Arabidopsis thaliana: one gene and its partners. The protein of the gene in region 1 purifies or fractionates together with the protein of each later gene. This does not show direct contact. Each region holds a gene or a part of one and is shown in the gene's direction. Other genes may lie near its edges. The genes, in order: STRS1, AT2G43770, AT5G22320 and EMB2770.

Evidence for each region.
Region 2: the proteins of STRS1 (region 1) and AT2G43770 fractionate together in Arabidopsis thaliana (co-fractionation; one large-scale study listed by BioGRID). This does not show direct contact.
Region 3: the proteins of STRS1 (region 1) and AT5G22320 fractionate together in Arabidopsis thaliana (co-fractionation; one large-scale study listed by BioGRID). This does not show direct contact.
Region 4: the proteins of STRS1 (region 1) and EMB2770 fractionate together in Arabidopsis thaliana (co-fractionation; one large-scale study listed by BioGRID). This does not show direct contact.

The regions. Positions count from the first base shown.
Region 1 is NC_003070.9:11,478,117-11,483,433, forward strand, and holds STRS1 (DEA(D/H)-box RNA helicase family protein), read left to right. Parts: upstream 1-1,646; 5' UTR 1,647-1,804; coding exon 1,805-2,291; intron 2,292-2,372; coding exon 2,373-2,503; intron 2,504-2,601; coding exon 2,602-2,709; intron 2,710-2,798; coding exon 2,799-2,879; intron 2,880-3,033; coding exon 3,034-3,112; intron 3,113-3,216; coding exon 3,217-3,302; intron 3,303-3,381; coding exon 3,382-3,438; intron 3,439-3,520; coding exon 3,521-3,588; intron 3,589-3,671; coding exon 3,672-3,740; intron 3,741-3,833; coding exon 3,834-3,927; intron 3,928-4,022; coding exon 4,023-4,187; intron 4,188-4,291; coding exon 4,292-4,384; intron 4,385-4,495; coding exon 4,496-4,591; 3' UTR 4,592-4,774; downstream 4,775-5,317. Other genes in the region: AT1G31950 (Terpenoid cyclases/Protein prenyltransferases superfamily protein), read left to right, coding at 1-78; AT1G31960 (uncharacterized protein), read right to left, coding at 1,017-1,538. UniProt on the Arabidopsis thaliana protein: ATP-dependent RNA helicase required for 60S ribosomal subunit synthesis. Involved in efficient pre-rRNA processing, predominantly at site A3, which is necessary for the normal formation of 25S and 5.8S rRNAs.
Region 2 is NC_003071.7:18,133,536-18,137,633, reverse strand, and holds AT2G43770 (Transducin/WD40 repeat-like superfamily protein), read left to right. Parts: upstream 1-1,597; 5' UTR 1,598-1,742; intron 1,743-2,295; 5' UTR 2,296-2,330; coding exon 2,331-3,362; 3' UTR 3,363-3,573; downstream 3,574-4,098. Other genes in the region: AT2G43780 (cytochrome oxidase assembly protein), read left to right, coding at 583-642, 969-1,190; AT2G43760 (molybdopterin biosynthesis MoaE family protein), read right to left, coding at 3,762-4,098.
Region 3 is NC_003076.8:7,387,500-7,392,314, reverse strand, and holds AT5G22320 (Leucine-rich repeat (LRR) family protein), read left to right. Parts: upstream 1-1,701; 5' UTR 1,702-1,888; coding exon 1,889-1,987; intron 1,988-2,067; coding exon 2,068-2,139; intron 2,140-2,245; coding exon 2,246-2,338; intron 2,339-2,485; coding exon 2,486-2,567; intron 2,568-2,648; coding exon 2,649-2,705; intron 2,706-2,797; coding exon 2,798-2,862; intron 2,863-2,935; coding exon 2,936-3,031; intron 3,032-3,135; coding exon 3,136-3,222; intron 3,223-3,336; coding exon 3,337-3,417; intron 3,418-3,513; coding exon 3,514-4,140; 3' UTR 4,141-4,311; downstream 4,312-4,815. Other genes in the region: RIN1 (P-loop containing nucleoside triphosphate hydrolases superfamily protein), read left to right, coding at 108-242, 328-393, 490-596, 688-787, 866-957, 1,040-1,109, 1,200-1,289.
Region 4 is NC_003075.7:1,515,508-1,522,403, reverse strand, and holds EMB2770 (pre-mRNA splicing factor-like protein), read left to right. Parts: upstream 1-1,840; 5' UTR 1,841-1,903; coding exon 1,904-4,993; 3' UTR 4,994-5,191; exon of another isoform or gene 5,192-5,279; 3' UTR 5,280-6,374; downstream 6,375-6,896. UniProt on the Arabidopsis thaliana protein: Pre-mRNA splicing factor required for splicing and for the turnover of unstable transcripts. May be a U5 snRNP-associated protein involved in the formation of U4/U6-U5 tri-snRNP. Involved in responses to abiotic stresses.

The DNA.
Region 1 (5,317 bases):
GATGGATACAGTGAACCCAAGGGCAAAATCGAACACTTTATGACATCCTTGTACCTCCACCCTATACCCCTTTCATAATGACGTGGAACACACACCAATCTAGGTCTATTCGGGGATGCTTTGAAATTAAAAAACAAAACAAAAGTAGTCCTTTGTTCTCTGTTTGTTCACTGTTACTCTAAGGCATGACTACTGTCACTCTGGTATCTGTCTAAACTCTTAAGAACTTTGAACACAACCAAACTAATTTAACTAAACATCGAGAAGTAAAAAGAGATGGTACCTTGAGTTTTCTATCTGTAATTTCATGGAGCCTCCAAAGTGCTTGTCCATGACCATGATCTCAGATTACTCTGCATTGTTAAGTTTCAGAACATCAATAGCTCTTTTTATAGTAGCATTATAAGCACTCAATAGGCTAACAAATTAACTCCTTCTCATCACGAATTAAAAAGAGAATATGATTAAAATGTTCTCTTTTCTCAGCAGTAAATTGTATAATTCTCCGGCGGAAACAAAACACAAAGCTCGAAACTTTACCATTATATTGGTTTCCCTCCGTAGTCTACGGCAAAGGAGAAAAAAAGCAGGAGCAATCCGACCAGATGGAAACGATCATTTCAGAATCTTATCATGTCCTAACGACGGCGTCTCCGGCGAGGCACATCGGTGAGATAAGTGAGAAAAATGGGTCTGTTTGGATATGGATGTAAGGCTAATAAGCCCATTGGGTTTTAGATCAATCTTTTGTTTATTACAATTTGCACCCTTCTATTTTCTATATTTGATGAAAAATATTAAGGTTTTTATGTATCAGCGACAAAATCAAAATACACATAAGCACAACTACATTTACCTCCATGTTTGATGACACATAAACAACTCAAAATTCCATATGAAAATTCATCAATTTCGCAATTAAAGCTCTATTATGTTATTTGTGAAGAACCAAACATGAGAACTGATCATCAAAACTAACCTCAATTTGACTTTTAACCGTCGAATGATTTTAATCATCAATTTGAATCTCCGTTTGTGCTCCTTGCAAGTCTTATAATGCCAGTAACATTGGTAACACCATCGTCACCCATCTCGTTGTTGTAGAAATCATTCACAACAGAAATGGTCACAACGTTGGATGTTTCTACAGAGTGAAATCGCACAACACCATTAGAACCCTTAACACCAGCGTCGTCAAACAATTTTCTCCTTATACTTGTCGGATTGTTGAGGTAACTCCGGTTGGTGTGTTTTGTTACCATAGCAGACATTTTGAAGCCATTAGTATAAAAGACTTGTGCATCGCCTACTATCCCTTTGTCTTTATCCACCCGACCGGAGCAGTCCTTTTTAATCAGTGTGTTCTGGTTGTCATCAACAATGGGGTCAAGGGACAGAAATAAATTCAGATTCATCGTTGTATACTTCACATCCAAAAATTGCCTTACACTCATATTGCTGGTAACAATCACATGCGATTTTGCTGTAACGCCCCGACCGCCCCTACCAGTGGGTCTCACGTCCTCTTTCGCGTCCATGGGTCATCCCCTATCCGACGGTTGGTATGCAACGTTCGGGAGGCTTTAAAGACTTGTTATCGATCTACAAATCAAATTAAATTTGGGTTTTACTTTAACAAAAGAGATGTCTAGACTCTCTATGTAATAACCAAAACTATGTAGGCAAAATTGCAATTGTAGAAAATATTTTTGCAATGCTTTAAAACCCTAAAAACCTAAATTGAACAACGGACTCTCGTTCGGCCGTTTCATCAACAACTCTCTCCTGTAAACGAAACAAAGAAATGGCTGGACAAAAGCAAGAGCTTCCCGTCTCCGGCGAACCTTTAGCCGTCGAGAGTCCGATGACCAACAAGAAGAAGAAGAAAAGCAAGAAGAACAAACATACAGAGGAAAATCATGAAGTCGAAGAAGTGCCTCAAGAGGTCACTAATGGTGTAGAGGAAGAGTTGAGTAATAAAGAGAAGAAGAAGAAACGTAAGAGAGAGGAGAAAGAGTCTGAGAAGAATAAGAAGAAGGATGTCCCGGAGAAGAAGCTTGAAGCTGAGGATTTAGGAGAAGGAGAGAGTGAACAACAGAAGGTTGTTGTGACTGGGAAAGGTGTGGAAGAAGCAAAGTACGCAGCTTTGAAGACTTTTGCTGAATCGAATTTGCCGGAGAATGTTTTAGATTGTTGTAAGACTTTCGAGAAGCCGTCTCCGATTCAGTCACATACGTGGCCGTTTTTGTTAGATGGGCGTGATCTTATCGGGATTGCGAAAACTGGGTCAGGTTAGTAATGTTTATGGAAGTGTGAAAGTTTTGAACTTTGGTTGAAAAGATTGAAACTTTTTGTGTTTTGTGTGTATTTAGGTAAGACATTGGCTTTTGGGATTCCTGCGATTATGCATGTGTTGAAGAAAAATAAGAAGATTGGTGGAGGATCAAAGAAGGTTAATCCTACTTGTTTAGTTCTTTCTCCTACACGAGAATTGGCTGTTCAGGTATATATATTGTTTCTTGTTCATTATGATTACAATGTGAAAATGAAAACGTATGGTCAAGTTTCTTAGTGTTGTGTTTGTTTTTGGTGGTTTGGTAGATTTCTGATGTTTTGCGTGAAGCTGGAGAACCGTGTGGTTTGAAATCGATTTGTGTGTATGGTGGAAGCTCTAAAGGGCCTCAAATAAGTGCAATTCGATCTGGAGTTGTAAGATTTCTTATTATGTTCTTTGATTAGGACATTCTCTTATGTTTCTGGATCAGTTGAGTAATGTTTTTTCTTGATTTATTTGTTAGGATATTGTCATTGGTACGCCTGGTCGTTTGAGAGACTTGATTGAGTCTAATGTGCTTCGTCTCTCGGATGTTTCCTTTGTCGTAAGCAGCAGAACATCTTTTGATTATGTTATTTGATGACTTAGCCTCGTAGGATCATCATCATAGTCGTTGCATCGTTTCTTGCTCCTATAATGAAACAACGGGAATCATATTTTCGAGTTATTAGATGGTAACAGAAGTTCCTACATGTCAGGTATTGGATGAAGCAGATCGAATGCTTGATATGGGTTTCGAGGAACCTGTCCGGTTTATATTGAGTAACACAAATAAAGGCAGGTGGTTTTTACATTTCACTTAGCATTCTTGTGAGAAGCCAAATTTGATATATGTGCTAAATTGTAATGAAAACTCTTCTTCTTTCTTATCTGTCTTATAGTTCGTCAAATGGTTATGTTCAGTGCAACTTGGCCTTTGGATGTTCACAAATTGGCCCAGGAATTCATGGATCCAAATCCAATCAAGGTCTGTTTTCCTCCTCAGTTTGTCTTTCCTCACCTGCAAGTTGCTTAAAATTTCCGATGATCATTCAAATTTCTTTCAGGTGATCATAGGTTCTGTAGACTTAGCTGCCAACCACGACGTTATGCAAATCATTGAGGTATGTTCTATCGGATCATCCTCATAGCAAGTAGTGTTGTCCTTTATATGATACTCTTAACAAGGTTTGGTTACAAATGCAGGTCTTGGATGAACGTGCGCGTGATCAGCGTCTCATTGCATTACTAGAAAAATACCATAAATCTCAAAAGTAAATTTGCTACTTAATCATTGAACTCTTACCAGATCTTTCCTTTTTCAACATACTAATACCAAGCGTTTTGGTATTTTCAGGAACAGGGTTTTGGTATTTGCTTTATACAAGGTGGAAGCTGAACGTCTCGAGCGTTTTCTTCAGCAAAGGTTTGATCTTTTAGCCCAAATCACATCAACTAAAGAGAAAAAGATCTTTGATATTATTGCTCATGAAATTCGATATTTACTCAACTATTTTAGAGGTTGGAAAGCTGTATCTATACACGGAAACAAAGCACAGAGCGAACGTACCAGGTCTTTATCATTGTTCAAAGAAGGATCCTGCCCGTTACTGGTATGCGTACTCTTATCATTCCGCAATTCCATGGCTAATAAAAATACATTGACTGGTTCTGAAACAGAGCATTGACACTGTTTTATAAATTACAGGTGGCTACTGATGTTGCAGCAAGAGGGCTTGATATCCCGGACGTGGAAGTTGTGATAAACTACACTTTCCCTTTAACAACAGAGGATTATGTACACAGAATCGGGAGGACAGGAAGAGCGGGTAAAAAGGGCGTTGCACACACCTTCTTCACGCCACTGAACAAGGTAATACTGAAAACACTCTTTTTAAAAATTTCTTTGAGCTACATCCTTTCCACAGAGTTGTTGAGAATGGAAATGATTCAAATTTGATCGTATCTTCCTTACAGGGTCTTGCAGGAGAACTTGTGAATGTTCTTAGGGAAGCAGGACAAGTAGTGCCAGCTGATCTTTTGAAGTTTGGCACTCATGTAAAGAAAAAGGTTTGATTTTCTTCCCTCACATTTTTGATTCTCCACACAAATTGCTTCTTCTTCTTCATCATCTGGATTCTGGAGTGATTGATGAGTGTTTTGTTTGATTAAAAATTGCAGGAATCAAAATTGTATGGAGCTCATTTCAAAGAAATAGCTGCTGATGCTCCTAAAGCTACGAAGATCACATTCGATAATTCTGATGACGAAGACTAGCTTAGTTTATTATTTTAATGGTATCATTATTTTATTATATTTACTTGGACAATGAAACCTGCATTTGATTTTCGTTTGTGGTCTGGGGCTTGGCCCGAATAACAAAAACAAATATATTTCAGAATTTTCATTATATTTGTATGCAATTTTGTGTTACTAGTTATTAAACTTTTATTTGTCCACAAAAAAGGTTATATTATTTTCCTTTGATGAAAAAAAGGTTTTATCTTTTTTCTTGAAACATTAATTGATCAGACACTTCAATATATTAATGACACTAATTGAGGAAGTATTTTTGCTATTTTGATGCTTCTTGGCTGCATAAAGCCAACGTGAGTGGTATGGCTCCTCCTTAGATGGATATTTTACATTTTACATTTTACATGATTTTTTCTTAGTTGATGTTATACGATCTATTTGGGTCGACTTATATAAAAATACATATATTTTATTGTTGCAATTATTAATTTTTCTCATAGCTAAATGTTCTTAGATCATGGCTCTAAAGTGTTATAGGGTTGCGAATGTGGTTGACAGTTTGTATTTATGAGTGTTTGTTCTAAGCTATGTTCTTTGCATCGTAAAGTCGTGGACATCCCGGATTAGTCCCGAGTCTTGTTGGACACACAAGCTATCTTGTTTGGCAGTCTAGCCGCTCTCCTGCCCATCGTTGTGATTTGGACAACGTTTGCTACTGTTCTTCTTATTCTCTGGTTTTTCTTTACT
Region 2 (4,098 bases), on another chromosome or scaffold:
TTTCTGCCTCTATCCCTCTTTCACACGAGAGCTCTTACTGGGTTTAGGGTTTTCGATAGATTGGTAAGTGGCCACGACACTAAGCGTCACCGAACCAGTTGTCAACTAAATAGGGAAACTTTAGGCTTCTGTCGCATTTAGGCACGATTCTCTGTAGAAGAAAAAAATATCAGCTTTGTTGTATCTTTCGGATTTTCGAGTGATCATCAAACCTTCATCACCAGGTTCCTTTCGATTCCATTTTAATTTTGTGGACTTTGGAGTAATTTGCTTAAAGAACCAATTTTTGATTGATATTTTCTGCTCTCCTTTCATTTTGACATTTTGATCTGGTTTTGAGAACTTTGGTTGAGTAACAGTAGCCTGCGTTTAAAAGATGTTAGCTTTGGATGTATAGATGTAGAGTTAGGTTTCTAATTGCCTTTATTTTTGCTTTGGTTGATGATTTATGGTTGATTGACTCGTTAAAGGGAAGTGCGCTGATTTTGTGGACAATTATGTTAGACTGATGGGCATGAATGTGACCAATTGATTTTCTCTCCGTTTCCATTATGATGCAGAAGAAAGTTCTATTTTGCTGAAATGTTTTGCAACTTTCAGTTGTTCATTCATACCATGATTGTACTCATCTTTGATCTCGTTGTGAGTACTATCACTTACTCTTGGCGTAGTAGTTCTTAGGATGAGGTATAAGTATAACAATTCGAAAATTCGTCGTATTCAATCTGTGTAATCTGTTTTTCACTATATGAACAATATGTCAATGTCCTGCGATGCCTCAGGGCTTCTGGAGTCACTTCTGCAATGTTAAAAAGAGTAATCAAAAGTTGTTATATCATGCTTCAGAGTTCTCTCTTGTTATTCCTCATCTTAGTATTTATGAAACTGTGATATTGAAGATATAACATAATCTAATACTTCTGATACTTGGGTCTCTTCTGTAACATGTGACACATTGGATCTTGCAGGTTAAAGACTTTGAAGTAATGGCGGGATTTCCAGGTTTTAGTTACCTAGGCCCAAAAGGCAAGAACACGGTTGTAGCTGGTGGCTTGACAGCTTTTGTTTTTGGGGTATACTTCTACACAATGAGGGCGGTTGGTGGCACAGACGAGCTTCAAGTGGCTATAGACAAGTTCGAAGGCCAAAAACAGGTGGACACTGACACCAAGGTTCCATCTAAGGTCTAATCCTCACTGGCTTGATATGTCCAACCAAACCCGTTATTTATCTTTGCTTTCCAAGCTTCTTTTGTCACGAAAGTGGCTCGTTTCTGACATCGAGTGGCATCTGTGTTTGAGTCTCAGTCCAATCTATAATACATTGATTAAACAAGAGAATGTATGATCAGGACATGGTTTTGATGTTCTTGACATTGTCTTAAGTTCTCAACTTTATCATACTCTTTGTACCTAAACGTTTGGTCTAAGCTAAGGTGTGGCTATCCATAAATTTCTGTTACTACGCCGTCAAAATCAATCAAAAGAAACCCAATTTGTCAGCCCAAAAAACATGCAGGAGATGGGTTATTTTGACAAAAAGAATAGTATCGGGTTCATTCCGTCATAAAATAGGGTCTTATCAATATTTTGCAAATAAACCAAAATTAAATACAGACTTGTTTAATTTCTGAATCTCTCTCTTCCTCTTTCTCGCGAGCTTTTTCTCTCTGGGTTTAGGGTTCCGGTAATTTTGCGACGACACCGAGCGATTCGTGCCTCCCTCCCCTTCCTTTGACTTCGGTGCGTAACTTCTTTCTATGTAGGGTTACTCTTTTAAGTAATTTCGTTCTATGAAGTCTTCTGCTGGAATTTTGGTATCTATCAAGCTTTTTTTCTTGAACTCTTCACTGTCTGTAATATAATGGGAGGTGAATCATGCATGTATGTTTCGATTTTGAGACGAATCGAGCTGCTAGTACTAAATTTGGTGTTAGTGGTTGCTTTGCTTTATGTCAAAATTGAATCTGTGAGATCTCTGTAACCGGACTTGAAGTCCTTTTTTCGTCTCTGGTGCAAAACCACAACAAGTTTTAGAGAGATATCGATTTCTTAATGATCTGTGTTTATTTACTTGCGGCTTGAGAATAAACATTGCAACCTTTTGCTTTTGTAGGCTTTACTTAGAATGTGCAGGTTTCATGATACTTCTTGGTGTTTACTATCTGCTTTTCGGATGTTATATTGATTAATGGCTTGAAAATTTTGAAATTGAGATATCTATAAAAGCTACACAGCTGTGTGAATATTGTTATAATTCGCTCAATCTTCTGATTCGTTTTCTCATGGAATCCAGGTTCTAACTTGATTACCAGTGAGAAGTAGGCTAAGATGGAAATCATGTCAAGAGAGAATGAGACTGCTTTGTCAGGTCCTAGGCCGATGGAATGGTCTACCGTCCCACACAGTGCTTCTCAAGGACCTGGTCCCAATGGCAAGAACCGGACCTCGAGCTTGGAAGCACCTATCATGTTGCTAAGTGGACATCCGAGTGCTGTCTATACCATGAAGTTCAATCCTGCTGGAACTCTGATTGCATCTGGATCCCATGACAGAGAAATCTTCCTCTGGAGAGTTCACGGGGACTGCAAAAACTTCATGGTTTTGAAAGGTCACAAGAACGCCATCCTTGATCTTCATTGGACCAGTGATGGCTCCCAGATTGTATCAGCTAGTCCGGATAAAACTGTAAGGGCTTGGGATGTTGAGACTGGGAAACAAATCAAGAAGATGGCTGAACATTCATCGTTTGTGAATTCTTGCTGTCCTACACGTAGAGGGCCACCTCTTATCATCAGTGGATCTGATGATGGAACTGCCAAGCTTTGGGACATGCGTCAAAGAGGAGCCATACAAACATTTCCTGATAAATACCAAATCACTGCAGTCAGTTTCTCAGATGCAGCTGATAAGATTTTCACTGGTGGTGTAGACAATGATGTTAAGGTTTGGGACTTGAGAAAAGGTGAAGCCACCATGACACTTGAGGGCCATCAAGATACAATCACAGGTATGAGCTTAAGCCCAGACGGTTCCTACCTTCTCACTAATGGAATGGACAACAAGCTCTGTGTGTGGGACATGCGTCCTTATGCTCCACAAAACCGATGTGTAAAGATCTTTGAGGGGCATCAACACAACTTTGAGAAGAACCTGCTGAAATGTTCATGGTCACCTGATGGTACAAAAGTTACTGCCGGTAGCTCAGACCGTATGGTTCATATCTGGGACACAACCAGTCGGCGCACTATATATAAGCTCCCAGGCCATACCGGTTCTGTCAATGAGTGTGTTTTCCACCCAACCGAGCCTATCATTGGATCTTGCAGTAGTGATAAAAATATCTACTTGGGAGAGATCTGAATTTCAAAGCTGTGAAACCTTTGCAACTCTAAGTGGAATTGAAGTCTTTAGAATCGACGATGTGCTTTGAGACATTTTGTTTATTGAAAGAAAAAACGAAACATTGCTCTTTGGTACAAGTAATCAAGATTTGTTATCTCCTGTAATATCTTCATTACGCTCTTTATCTTCTTCTACTTTAACAGATGAGGTCATCATTTTAGTTCTCCTTAAAATTGTTATCTTTGGTATTACAATCTTGCAGTATCTTCGATTAGATTCTTACAGATTCAAGCAGTAGCAAGTATAAGCCCAGTCCAGTAACCAACTAACGCATATAAGTCTTTAGATTCAACAATGTGCTTAAGAAAGTTTGTCTATTGAAAGTAAAAAGCGAAACAGTGTTACTGCTACAAGTGATCAAGAAGAAGATTTGTTATCTCCTGTAATATCTTTATGCTCTTCATCTTCTTCTACTCTAACTTTGCTTCCACAGCAACCTCTTCTTCTATGTTCTTCAACCACAGTTTTTTTTACAATGCTGTCTCTTTTCTCTGCAAGCTCCAATCTTTTCTCCATAAACTCAGAATTCTCCTTCCAAATCTCTCCATTAGTGTAAACCTCTTTCTTCCATATCGGAACCGATGCCTTCAACTCGTCGATCAAGAACTTGCAAGCATCTAAACCATCTGCACGGTGAACAGATGAGACCGCAATGAGCACGCTAGTTTCTCCAACAGGAACTGGTCCAAGACGG
Region 3 (4,815 bases), on another chromosome or scaffold:
TTGATTTATTATCTGTTATGTATTAGTTTGTATGTGTATTAACCTTAGTTCCTAAGTTTATTAAGACTACTTGTTACTCAACTAGACCATATACTTTTGACTGATAGGATGTCACACTCCAAGATCTGGATGCAGCAAATGCTCGACCTCAAGGTGGCCAGGATATACTTTCTTTGATGGGCCAAATGATGAAACCGCGGAAGACTGAGATCACTGATAAGCTTCGGCAAGAAATTAACAAGGTGATTTTCGCTAGTACATGGGTGATTTTTTTAAGCATCTTACTTTCTCTTTTGCAAGGTCTAATATTTTTATATGCCATTGTAGGTTGTGAACCGATATATAGATGAAGGTGTGGCAGAGCTTGTTCCAGGAGTTCTATTTATTGATGAGGTATTTTCCCAAATAAAGTTTTTTTTCATTCCACTATTGATCTTGCTCAGGACTCAGGAGCAGTAAGAATACCTTTGTTTAATTATAAAACCTCAGGTTCATATGCTTGATATGGAGTGCTTCTCATACTTGAACCGTGCTCTTGAGAGCTCATTATCTCCGATAGTGATATTTGCAACAAATAGAGGTGTTTGCAACGTAAGGTGAGAAGAGCGCTAGACCTTGATAGACATTTTCCTTTGGAAATCTTGTGAGTTTTTGTTAACTTGGTACTGTGATTTACTTTATTTGCAGAGGGACTGATATGCCCAGCCCCCATGGAGTCCCTATTGATCTATTAGATCGATTGGTTATCATCCGGACTCAAATCTATGATCCCTCTGAAATGATCCAGGTTACTCAATTGTCATTTAGCTTTTGGATTTCAATTACTACGAACAACATTCTAATAGATTTATCATTTTGTTCACAGATTATAGCCATTCGTGCGCAAGTTGAAGAATTAACCGTGGATGAAGAATGCTTGGTTCTACTTGGGGAGATTGGGCAAAGAACTTCACTAAGGTACTGTCATCATTGCTTTTCTAAGCAAAATTTCTGTTCGTGAATCTAAATACTAAAACCTTTTTTGTGCTTTCACTCTCAGGCACGCTGTGCAGCTTCTGTCTCCTGCCAGCATTGTAGCGAAAATGAATGGCCGTGACAATATTTGCAAGGTAGATTTACTTGTGAAATCTTAGAACAATAAAACAAATGTAAAATATGTGGATGTTATGTTATTAATCCTTCATCTTAAATTTTGACAGGCTGATATAGAGGAAGTAACATCACTCTACTTGGATGCTAAATCTTCAGCAAAGCTTTTGCATGAGCAACAAGAAAAATACATCTCATGAGAAGAACACTAATCGCACATTTTGTTGAAACATCTCATAATTTTTCTGTCGTTTTATTTTGTAATGTCGGAATATGGAGAATGTCTAATGGGATTACAATTTGGTTTCTCTGAATTCATTTATTTATGTGCTATTTTTTTGTTTGTGGTGCTAACTAATGAAAACTGAAATATGGTTTCACGTGTATACACATACATGGTCGTGAGATTCAAACTTTTGGTTTCATATTGAGTTCCCTTGTTACATTACAATACACTTATTCAAGATCAAACTGTTTGTGGAACATAACATTGTGTAATTGTCTATTTGGTTACTGTTAAAAGTTGATGTTGCGCCAAAAAGAAAGAAAAAAAACTCTATTATCAGAACAGAGTCAGCAGAGTCGGAGATTATAAAACTTGAGGATCAAAGTGGGAGGAGTACCATAAGAGGGTGTCCCTGATCCGTACAATAATAACAAGGTCAAATGTATAAACAATAGAAAACTGTGGGGTTTTTGGGTAAAGACTTATCACGGTTGGGAACAGAGACAATCTTTTGAATAAGGTGAAACCAAAAGACTAGGGTTTTGTGTGACAAGGAAGAAGACGAAGACGGCGATGAATTCGTTAACCGTTGAACAAGTATTGAAAGAGAAGAAGACCAATGACCCAGATTCCGTCAAGGAACTTAATCTCGGCCATAAAGCTCTCACCGACGTGAGTATTGTTTCTGTTCTGAAACTCTGTTCCCAAGTAGAAATTGATACGAAACCCTAATTGTTTAATTGTATATTTAGGTGTCTTGTTTGAGCAAGTTCAAAAACTTGGAAAAGCTTGATCTTCGTTTCAACAATCTAACAGATCTTCAGGTTGATTGATACATAAATCTCATTTTATAAGCATAAATAGCATCCAAAGTTTTGATTTTTAAGTTGCTAGAGCTTATTATATGTTGATGTGTTAATTGGTTTTTAGGGACTCAAGTCTTGTGTGAACTTGAAATGGCTTTCAGTTGTGGAAAACAAATTGCAAAGCTTAAATGGAATTGAAGCACTCACTAAGCTTACGGTTAGTTCCACTGATATCACTGAGCTTGTTTCTTTGAGATTTGTATCACTTACCAATAGTGAGGTTCTCCAGGATTAAGCTTTGTTTTGACAGAAAACGAGTTAATATGTGTGCTTTATTTGACTGTGTGATGTTGTTTTCTATCAGGTGCTTAATGCTGGAAAGAATAAGCTCAAATCCATGAATGAGATCTCTTCTCTTGTCAATTTACGGGCCTTGATCTTGAATGGTAAGTTGTCAACGGTTTTATGTCTTTGCATCCACAAGCTACTGTTTGATTACTTACTCGTTATTGTTTCACTTGTTGTAGACAATGAAATCTCCTCCATTTGCAAGCTTGATTTACTCAAAGACTTGAACAGTCTCGGTATGTTCTTTTACATCAAAATCAACATGTTACTGTTTAGATGTTACACCTAATTTCATTCTACTTAAATGTGTATGGATTCATTCATGCAGTTCTTTCTAGGAACCCAATCAGTGAAATAGGTGACTCACTTTCAAAGTTGAAAAACCTCTCCAAAGTAAGCTCTTGTTTTCCTCCCGTTTCGGAATCACAACTAAACTGATCCTTGTCTAATCCCATCTCGGTTTCAGATTTCTTTGTCTGACTGCAGAATAAAAGCTATTGGCTCTTCTCTCAAGTCATGCTCTGATTTGAAAGAGCTGCGGCTCGCGAACAATGAAATCAAGGTGATCTTTCTTACATTTATGCAATCTACAGAACAAACCTGCCTCTTCTCACAATCTTTTGTTTATATTGCTAATCGTTATTTCATTTACGCTTAACTGTTCAGGCTCTCCCAGCAGAACTAGCAGTCAACAAAAGACTACTCAATTTGGATGTGGGAAACAATGTGATTACGCAACTCTCTGGTTTAGAGGTATAGTCTAATTCATATAGGTGAAAGCAAATTTGTTAGCCTTCCCTAGCTTGTGGCAAGTTTTTGTGGTGATCGTGTAATAAACCATCAAATTTGTGTGCTCCCAAATGATAGGTTTTGGGTACACTATCTTGCTTGCGAAATCTGAATATTCGAGGAAACCCGATTTCTGATAACGATAAGTCAGCTAAGAAGGTAAAACAACTTTTTCTACTTCTTTTTTCCATTGTGATTAGTGTAACTGCGTGAAGAAATCGTATAAGAATGAGGAAAATTGTTTTGATGTCGCAGGTGAGAACGTTGCTTCTCCCTTCAGTGAATGTATTCAACGCTCAACCCTTAGAAAAAAGCTCAAGGAATGCAAAGCATATTCGGCTTGATACCGATGATGAAACCTTTGATGCCTATCACAATAAATCAGCAGAAGAGGAACAATCTAAAGAAGATCGAAAACGCAAGAAGAGCTCTAAGAGAAATAAGTCAGAAGAAGAAGAAGTCAACAATGAGGATCACAAAAGCAAGAAGAAGAAGTCTAAGAGCAACACAAATGTAGATCAAGTTGAAACAAAAAAGAAAGAAGAACATAAAGAGAAGACAATCCCAAGTAACAATGATGATGATGATGATGCTGAGAAGAAACAGAAAAGGGCTACTCCAAAGGAGGAACTCGATGCTATAGATGATGCTGAAACCTCTTTCGCAGAAATCTTTTCCCGGGAAAATGTGCCAAAGGGTTCTGAAGACGGTATTGAGAAGAAGAAGAAAAGCAGCGTCCAAGAGACAGGTTTAGTAAAAGTGATAGATACTAAAGCTAACAAGAAGAAGAAGAAGAGTGAAAAGAAGCAAAGCAAGAGTGTAGTGATTGATCTTCCCATGGAGGTTGAGATCGGGTTAGGAGGAGAGTCTAAGTGGGAGTAAACTGCAACAGAGGGAGTGTTTTACTCTTTAAAAGAAGGGACAGTTATGTCTGTAACATCCAACGGCTAGGGAGTATTTTGATATGGTTAAAGAACATAGGAGAGGAAGAAAGTGGTTTCGATCTTCTTTATAAATTGTTTTCTGCACTGTTGAGAAGCTATATCTAATTTTATAAAATGTTTGTGTCATTGAAACCAAAACAAAAAAAGGAGAATAGGTCCCACCGAGACTTGAACTCGGGTTACTGGATTCAGAGTCCAATGTCCTGACCACTAGACCATGGGACCATTCTATTCACGCTTTAATATTTGTTATTTTTATTGTGTTAGTTTCTAGTGTGTAATAAAAAAGAGAAATAAAATGATACAAGCTAAATGCTAGGAAAAATGTGGAAACACTAGTTTGGACAATGAGAAGTTTGAATTTTGATTTCAGAAAAGAAAACTAAATTAATTTTAGTGCAGACTATTCCGATTAGGTGTAAATGTGGTCTACATTTGTGATATATTATGAAGACGTAGAGAAGAGTTAGAAATTTTTGTCATCTTCTTTTGTTTCCTATGTTTGTTTTGTAATGCTAATGTTAAAACCGATTTGCTAGTTCAAAATGTCCGTATCTACCCGTATTGAATGTATGTAATTACCCATAGTATGTATTGTATATTGTAAACGATA
Region 4 (6,896 bases), on another chromosome or scaffold:
TAATTAGCTAGGTCCAGTTTGATCACTGTGATTGTAGTTGACAGATAGTCAAAATGACCTCTTGTTGTTTTGCTGGTGATCATTATTTCAGTACCTAAGTTTTTTTTACCCAACCCTCACTTCAACACATCTTTTGCTGCCACCATTTCCTTTCGCTTTCGGCCGCTGGTCACAACTCACAACAGCAACAATGACTAAAAGAATCTGCACTAAGTCAATTTCCAGCTTCTTGTTTTATTAAGGAAAATCTCGTGCCATGTAAATTGTCAGACTTTTGGTTTGTTTCCAGCTCATACCTGGTTTTGAGGTAGTCTATGTTCTTGGCTTGCCATTTCTTTTTAATCTTGAGCTATGTTCTTAGAGGCGGCTAAGCAGTTCAGGACTTGGTTGTTGGTTAACTTATTGTAGCAATACTTGTTCTTATTTGGGCTTTGCTGGGTGATCCAGAACTCGGCCACAAAGCCTTTCAGTTTGCCTTTCCATTTCTGTCTTTGGCTCTAAACTCCATGTAGGTCGCATTCTATTTTGGCGTGCTCGCTACAACAAGTGATATACTAGTTATTTTTTTTCGTTCTTCACTAAATACTAGATTTTAACCCGCGGTACACCGCGGAAACAATTTATTTTTTAAAGTTAGTATACATAAAAGTTTGCAAATTGTATCTATCTATAAATATTTTTATTTTATAGTTTACAATTGTTATTAAGTAACGTCCTGCCAAACCCGTCCCGCCAACCCGTCCCATAAAAAAAACATTTATTTTATTAATGTTAATCTTATTTATGATATGTTTATGAATTATTGTCTAAATATTTTGTAATTTTGTAATAATTAAATGCTATCAAATATCTCTGCGATTTGACGATTATAATTAAATTGTTATAGTCATGGAGAAAAACAATATCAAAAATGATAATTTTGTAGTAAATAAATGATATTAAATATTTTGAAAGTTTTATTTTAGTAACTAATCGTGTAGTTAATGTGGAGAGATTTAGGGAAGATTGTTAAATGTCAAATATTTAATTTGAAGATTTTTTTTCTAATTATCAAAAACAAACATTAAAATCCAGTGGCAGCTATTGTAAATAAGTCCCAACTATAAGATTTATTTCACAAAATTGCTGCAAAAATGTATATATAGATATTCAGCGCGTATTTTATTTTGTGCTCTATTTTCTTCTTGCCTATTACACTGTCCCATATATTCCTGGCTTTGGTCGTTGTCACTGGGCAACGGATATCCTCTCCGAATGCTATTATGGTTTGTTGATGAAGAAGATGCTGAAACATATCACACCTCTGGCTCTGGTCCGTGTGATTGAAACAAAAAAGACGAAAGGATGTCTTCTTATCTATTTGATTCAGTTGTTGTTTTCATAACTAGTAATTTATTACGTTGGTTTGGAAAGAGTCAGTAAGCGGGGATAGCTCAGTTGGGAGAGCGTCAGACTGAAGATCTCGATCCACGCTCACCGCATTACGTTGTCTTTTCGTTTTTATTTTCTTTCTATATATCTTTTACTCATTGATTGTGTTACATGAAGCGGGGATAGCTCAGTTGGGAGAGCGTCAGACTGAAGATCTGAAGGTCGCGTGTTCGATCCACGCTCACCGCAATATTTAGTCATTTAATTTTTTTCCCAAAGCCATGCAAACGACGTCGTTTAAAACCAAAACACACAGAGATAGTCATATACGGTGTCGCTTTATGAAAAGCTCGAATTATACTAACGGTGGTTTTACAATATGAAGTTCAAAAAGCCCATTAAAAAGCCCACTACATATCCCACCGCCTTTACCTCTGAACCGACTATTTTTTTTCCACCCTTTATATTCGTTGTAACAGCAGAGATTTTTATAGTTTGGTTTCTTTGACCGGAGAATCTCGATTAGGTTACGATGGTGTTTCTCTCGATTCCAAACGGGAAGACTTTATCGATCGACGTGAACCCTAATTCAACCACCATCTCCGCCTTCGAACAATTGGCCCACCAACGTAGTGATGTTCCACAATCTTTCCTTCGTTACTCTCTCCGTATGCGAAACCCTAGCCGCGTGTTTGTAGATTCAAAGGATTCCGATTCGATCTTATTGTCCGATCTCGGTGTTTCTCGTTTCTCTACTGTGATTATCCATGTCCTGCTTTTGGGTGGTATGCAAGCGGCTCCGCCGAAGCCTCGTCTTGATTTCCTCAATTCTAAGCCTCCGTCAAATTATGTAGCGGGTTTGGGTCGTGGTGCTACTGGGTTTACTACTCGATCTGATATTGGTCCTGCTCGTGCTGCTCCGGATCTTCCTGATCGGTCTGCTTTGGCTACAGCGGCTGCTCCAGGAGTAGGTCGTGGAGCAGGGAAGCCAAGTGAAGCGGAAGCGGAGGACGATGAAGAAGCTGAGGAGAAAAGGTACGATGAGAATCAGACGTTTGATGAGTTTGAAGGGAATGATGTTGGTTTGTTCGCTAATGCTGAGTACGATGAGGATGATAAAGAGGCTGATGCCATCTGGGAGTCTATTGATCAGAGGATGGATTCGAGGAGGAAAGATCGGAGAGAAGCGAAGCTGAAGGAAGAAATCGAGAAATACCGAGCCTCGAACCCTAAGATTACTGAGCAGTTTGCGGATTTGAAGAGGAAATTACACACTTTGTCTGCGGATGAGTGGGATAGTATTCCTGAGATTGGGGATTACTCGCTGAGGAACAAGAAGAAGAAGTTTGAGAGCTTTGTGCCTATTCCTGATACGCTTTTGGAGAAGGCGAAGAAAGAAAAGGAGCTTGTCATGGCCTTAGACCCAAAGAGCAGAGCCGCTGGTGGGTCGGAGACACCATGGGGGCAGACGCCGGTGACAGACTTGACTGCTGTCGGTGAGGGAAGAGGTACGGTGTTGTCTCTGAAGCTTGATAACCTATCAGATTCAGTTTCGGGGCAAACTGTAGTGGATCCTAAAGGCTACTTAACTGACCTGAAGAGTATGAAAAGAACCACTGATGAAGAGATATACGATCGCAATAGAGCTAGATTGTTATACAAGAGTCTGACCCAGTCGAATCCAAAGAATCCAAATGGCTGGATTGCTGCTGCTAGAGTGGAGGAGGTGGATGGGAAGATTAAAGCAGCTAGGTTTCAGATTCAGAGGGGCTGCGAAGAGTGCCCGAAAAATGAGGATGTTTGGCTTGAAGCTTGTAGGTTAGCTAATCCAGAAGATGCCAAGGGGGTTATTGCGAAGGGAGTTAAGCTGATACCCAATTCAGTGAAGCTATGGTTGGAGGCTGCAAAGCTGGAGCATGATGTGGAGAACAAGAGTAGGGTGTTGAGAAAGGGACTGGAACATATTCCAGACTCTGTAAGACTATGGAAGGCTGTTGTTGAGTTGGCTAATGAGGAGGATGCAAGGATTTTGCTTCACAGGGCTGTGGAGTGCTGCCCTTTGCATCTGGAGCTATGGGTGGCACTTGCGAGGCTCGAAACATATGCTGAATCAAAGAAGGTGTTGAACAAAGCGAGAGAGAAGCTCCCAAAGGAGCCTGCAATTTGGATCACCGCTGCTAAGTTAGAAGAAGCTAATGGGAAGCTAGATGAAGCTAATGATAACACGGCTATGGTGGGAAAGATTATTGATAGGGGTATAAAGACTCTCCAGAGAGAAGGGGTTGTTATTGACCGAGAAAATTGGATGAGTGAGGCTGAGGCATGTGAGAGAGTTGGATCTGTCGCTACATGCCAGGCCATTATTAAGAACACAATAGGTATTGGAGTGGAAGAAGAGGATAGAAAGAGAACTTGGGTTGCTGATGCAGATGAGTGCAAGAAGAGGGGTTCCATTGAGACCGCAAGAGCAATATACGCCCATGCTCTTAGTGTATTCTTGACCAAGAAAAGTATCTGGCTTAAAGCGGCGCAGCTTGAGAAGAGCCATGGGAGTCGGGAGTCCCTTGATGCCTTGTTGCGTAAGGCTGTAACATATGTCCCGCAAGCTGAGGTTCTCTGGCTCATGGGTGCCAAAGAGAAGTGGCTCGCTGGAGATGTTCCAGCAGCCCGTGCTATTCTACAAGAGGCTTATGCTGCAATTCCCAACTCTGAGGAAATCTGGCTTGCTGCTTTCAAGCTTGAGTTTGAGAACAAGGAGCCGGAGAGGGCAAGAATGCTGCTTGCAAAAGCAAGGGAAAGAGGAGGGACTGAAAGGGTCTGGATGAAATCAGCCATTGTTGAGAGAGAACTTGGCAACGTAGAGGAGGAGAGGAGATTGCTTAATGAAGGTTTGAAGCAATTCCCAACATTCTTCAAGCTTTGGTTAATGCTTGGGCAGCTCGAGGAACGGTTCAAGCATCTAGAACAGGCCAGGAAAGCTTATGACACTGGTTTGAAGCACTGTCCCCACTGCATACCACTGTGGCTCTCACTCGCTGATCTTGAAGAGAAAGTGAATGGGCTAAACAAAGCTCGGGCTATTCTCACCACGGCCAGGAAGAAGAATCCTGGGGGGGCTGAGCTATGGTTAGCTGCTATTCGCGCTGAACTGAGGCATGACAACAAGAGAGAAGCAGAGCACTTGATGTCAAAGGCTCTGCAAGACTGTCCCAAGAGTGGTATCCTCTGGGCTGCGGACATTGAGATGGCGCCACGTCCTCGACGGAAAACAAAGAGTATTGATGCTATGAAGAAGTGTGATCGCGACCCTCATGTCACCATAGCTGTTGCCAAGCTCTTTTGGCAAGACAAGAAGGTGGAGAAAGCCAGAGCATGGTTTGAACGTGCTGTTACCGTTGGCCCAGATATTGGCGATTTCTGGGCGTTGTTCTACAAATTTGAACTTCAACATGGCTCTGATGAGGACAGGAAGGAAGTTGTGGCGAAGTGTGTAGCTTGTGAGCCGAAGCATGGCGAGAAATGGCAAGCCATCTCCAAAGCGGTTGAAAATGCTCACCAGCCTATTGAAGTTATCTTGAAGAGAGTTGTGAATGCGTTGAGCAAGGAAGAGAATTCTGCTTGAGAGTATCAATTTTCTTATGTTTTTCATGATCAAGCTCTGCTCATAGCACATTACACCTTAGTTCTTGTTTTCTCTTTGCAGGCTCAACTTTTAACCATTCATGTTTTTCTTCAGTAGCGAGACCTGATATTGATTTACAGGAGTGTTTCACCAGATACATGTAGAATTCTCAGTTTACTAAATGCTTCAGTTTTCTTTGTGAGTCTCTGTGTGCTGCAGTGTTCAGCTATTAAACTTCTTTTGTTATTTGTATAACTGATCATTTGTTGTTCGTTTCATGCCTTAGCCTTCATCCTTAGGGAGCTTTTGTCTGCCTGGTGACTAAGATTGGTGCGTGGGCAAGTCATGAAACCCACACTCCCAACGCTTCTTTAGACAGTGTAAGAAAACTAACCCCTGACACAGTTTTTAGAGTTCTTTGTCCATTAACACTAGCTGTGATAGTAATTCTTAGAAGAAGATATTGGTAACCTTTTTAGCCTTAATACTAATAAACCTCTTGCCTGTTAAAATCAACCAACTAGTTTATTTGCCTTCTTTTGGAGAGCTGATTCTCAAACAAAGGCGACTTGTTTTCCTATCTTCAGTAGACCCTTGACTTTGAGAACCTTTTGGTCGCTCTCATCCTGTGGTAACACTGCAATTTGTTTTATTGTTGGGTAAAACTAGTTTGCAAGTACAAAGGTTGATTTGTTCTAGTCTTTTGCCGAGTACCTCTGGTGAGGCATGAGAAACAACAGGATATATTGTGTGGACAGTCCATTAGTTTCGATTCAACCGAAGATAAGAGAGAACTGAAAGTGAGACCAGTTTCCTCGTGATGGCCGTCTGTGAAACTCCTGCATTTCCAGTATTTGGTCAGCTTTCAAGTGTATAATAATTGGCGTTGAGGAAGTTCCCTCAGAACATTGTGACTGCCATAATCAGGATCAACTCCGATCAGAACAGACCGCACTAAAAAAAAAAAAAAAGAGGACCAAATCAAAGACAATCTGTTTGGTTTACCAAAAGCGGACCACAATAGGCTGTATTTAGCAATTAGCATATCACAACTAATCACCTCATCTATATCTAGTTTCTAAAGACTAGTTATACCATTATCCAAATTTATTATGTATTGTTCTTTTGGAGAACACATGGCGACAACGTGTCCAAAATATGGACCCAAAAGTGCTACCAAAAAACATAACAAAAGGCAAAATAAAATAAAAATGCAATATTAGGTTTGCAATCATCATCATATGATGATGGGGACAAGAACATGTTCGTTAACATTTTTTCCAAAAGATTAACACAAATAGATAACGTTATCGTTGGTTAAATGTATAATGCGAATGTGGAGCTAAATAGCAAAATATAAAGTAAGTGGATATATACGAACCGCATATTTGACTTTGGTACCATCAAATGTCCGTGCCTAGTTGGTTGTTGAACATTTTAATTACTTTATCAAAATATCTTATATGTTAGACTTTTGTGCTCTTGTTATTTCTGTGGTATGGTTAGAGGTTTATAGTTGATGTTAATTAGATAAGACATCATCTAAACCATCTTCTTAAACAAATCATATCTCCTCGTGAGTGTTACATAAAACTGTGATCGGTAGCCGAACACGATAATGTATTTAATTGGCCCAACAATCCAATTCATTTATGATGAAGAATAAAAAGAAATTCAAGTGTAGTTGGTTTAACGTTTTTTTTTTTTAATATAAGATGTTGTTTTGGTTCTGTTTAATGTTCTTGAGTCGTAAAATATAGGTAAGTTTTGTTACGGAATCTGTGCAAAATGCACATGTGATCATTTCCTCTAAGTCAGTACTTACTCTTTACTGCTAACAGATTAATTACATTGTATATAAAATTAATTAGATATGAAGTAAGGGCGGGCAAAAAAACCGGAA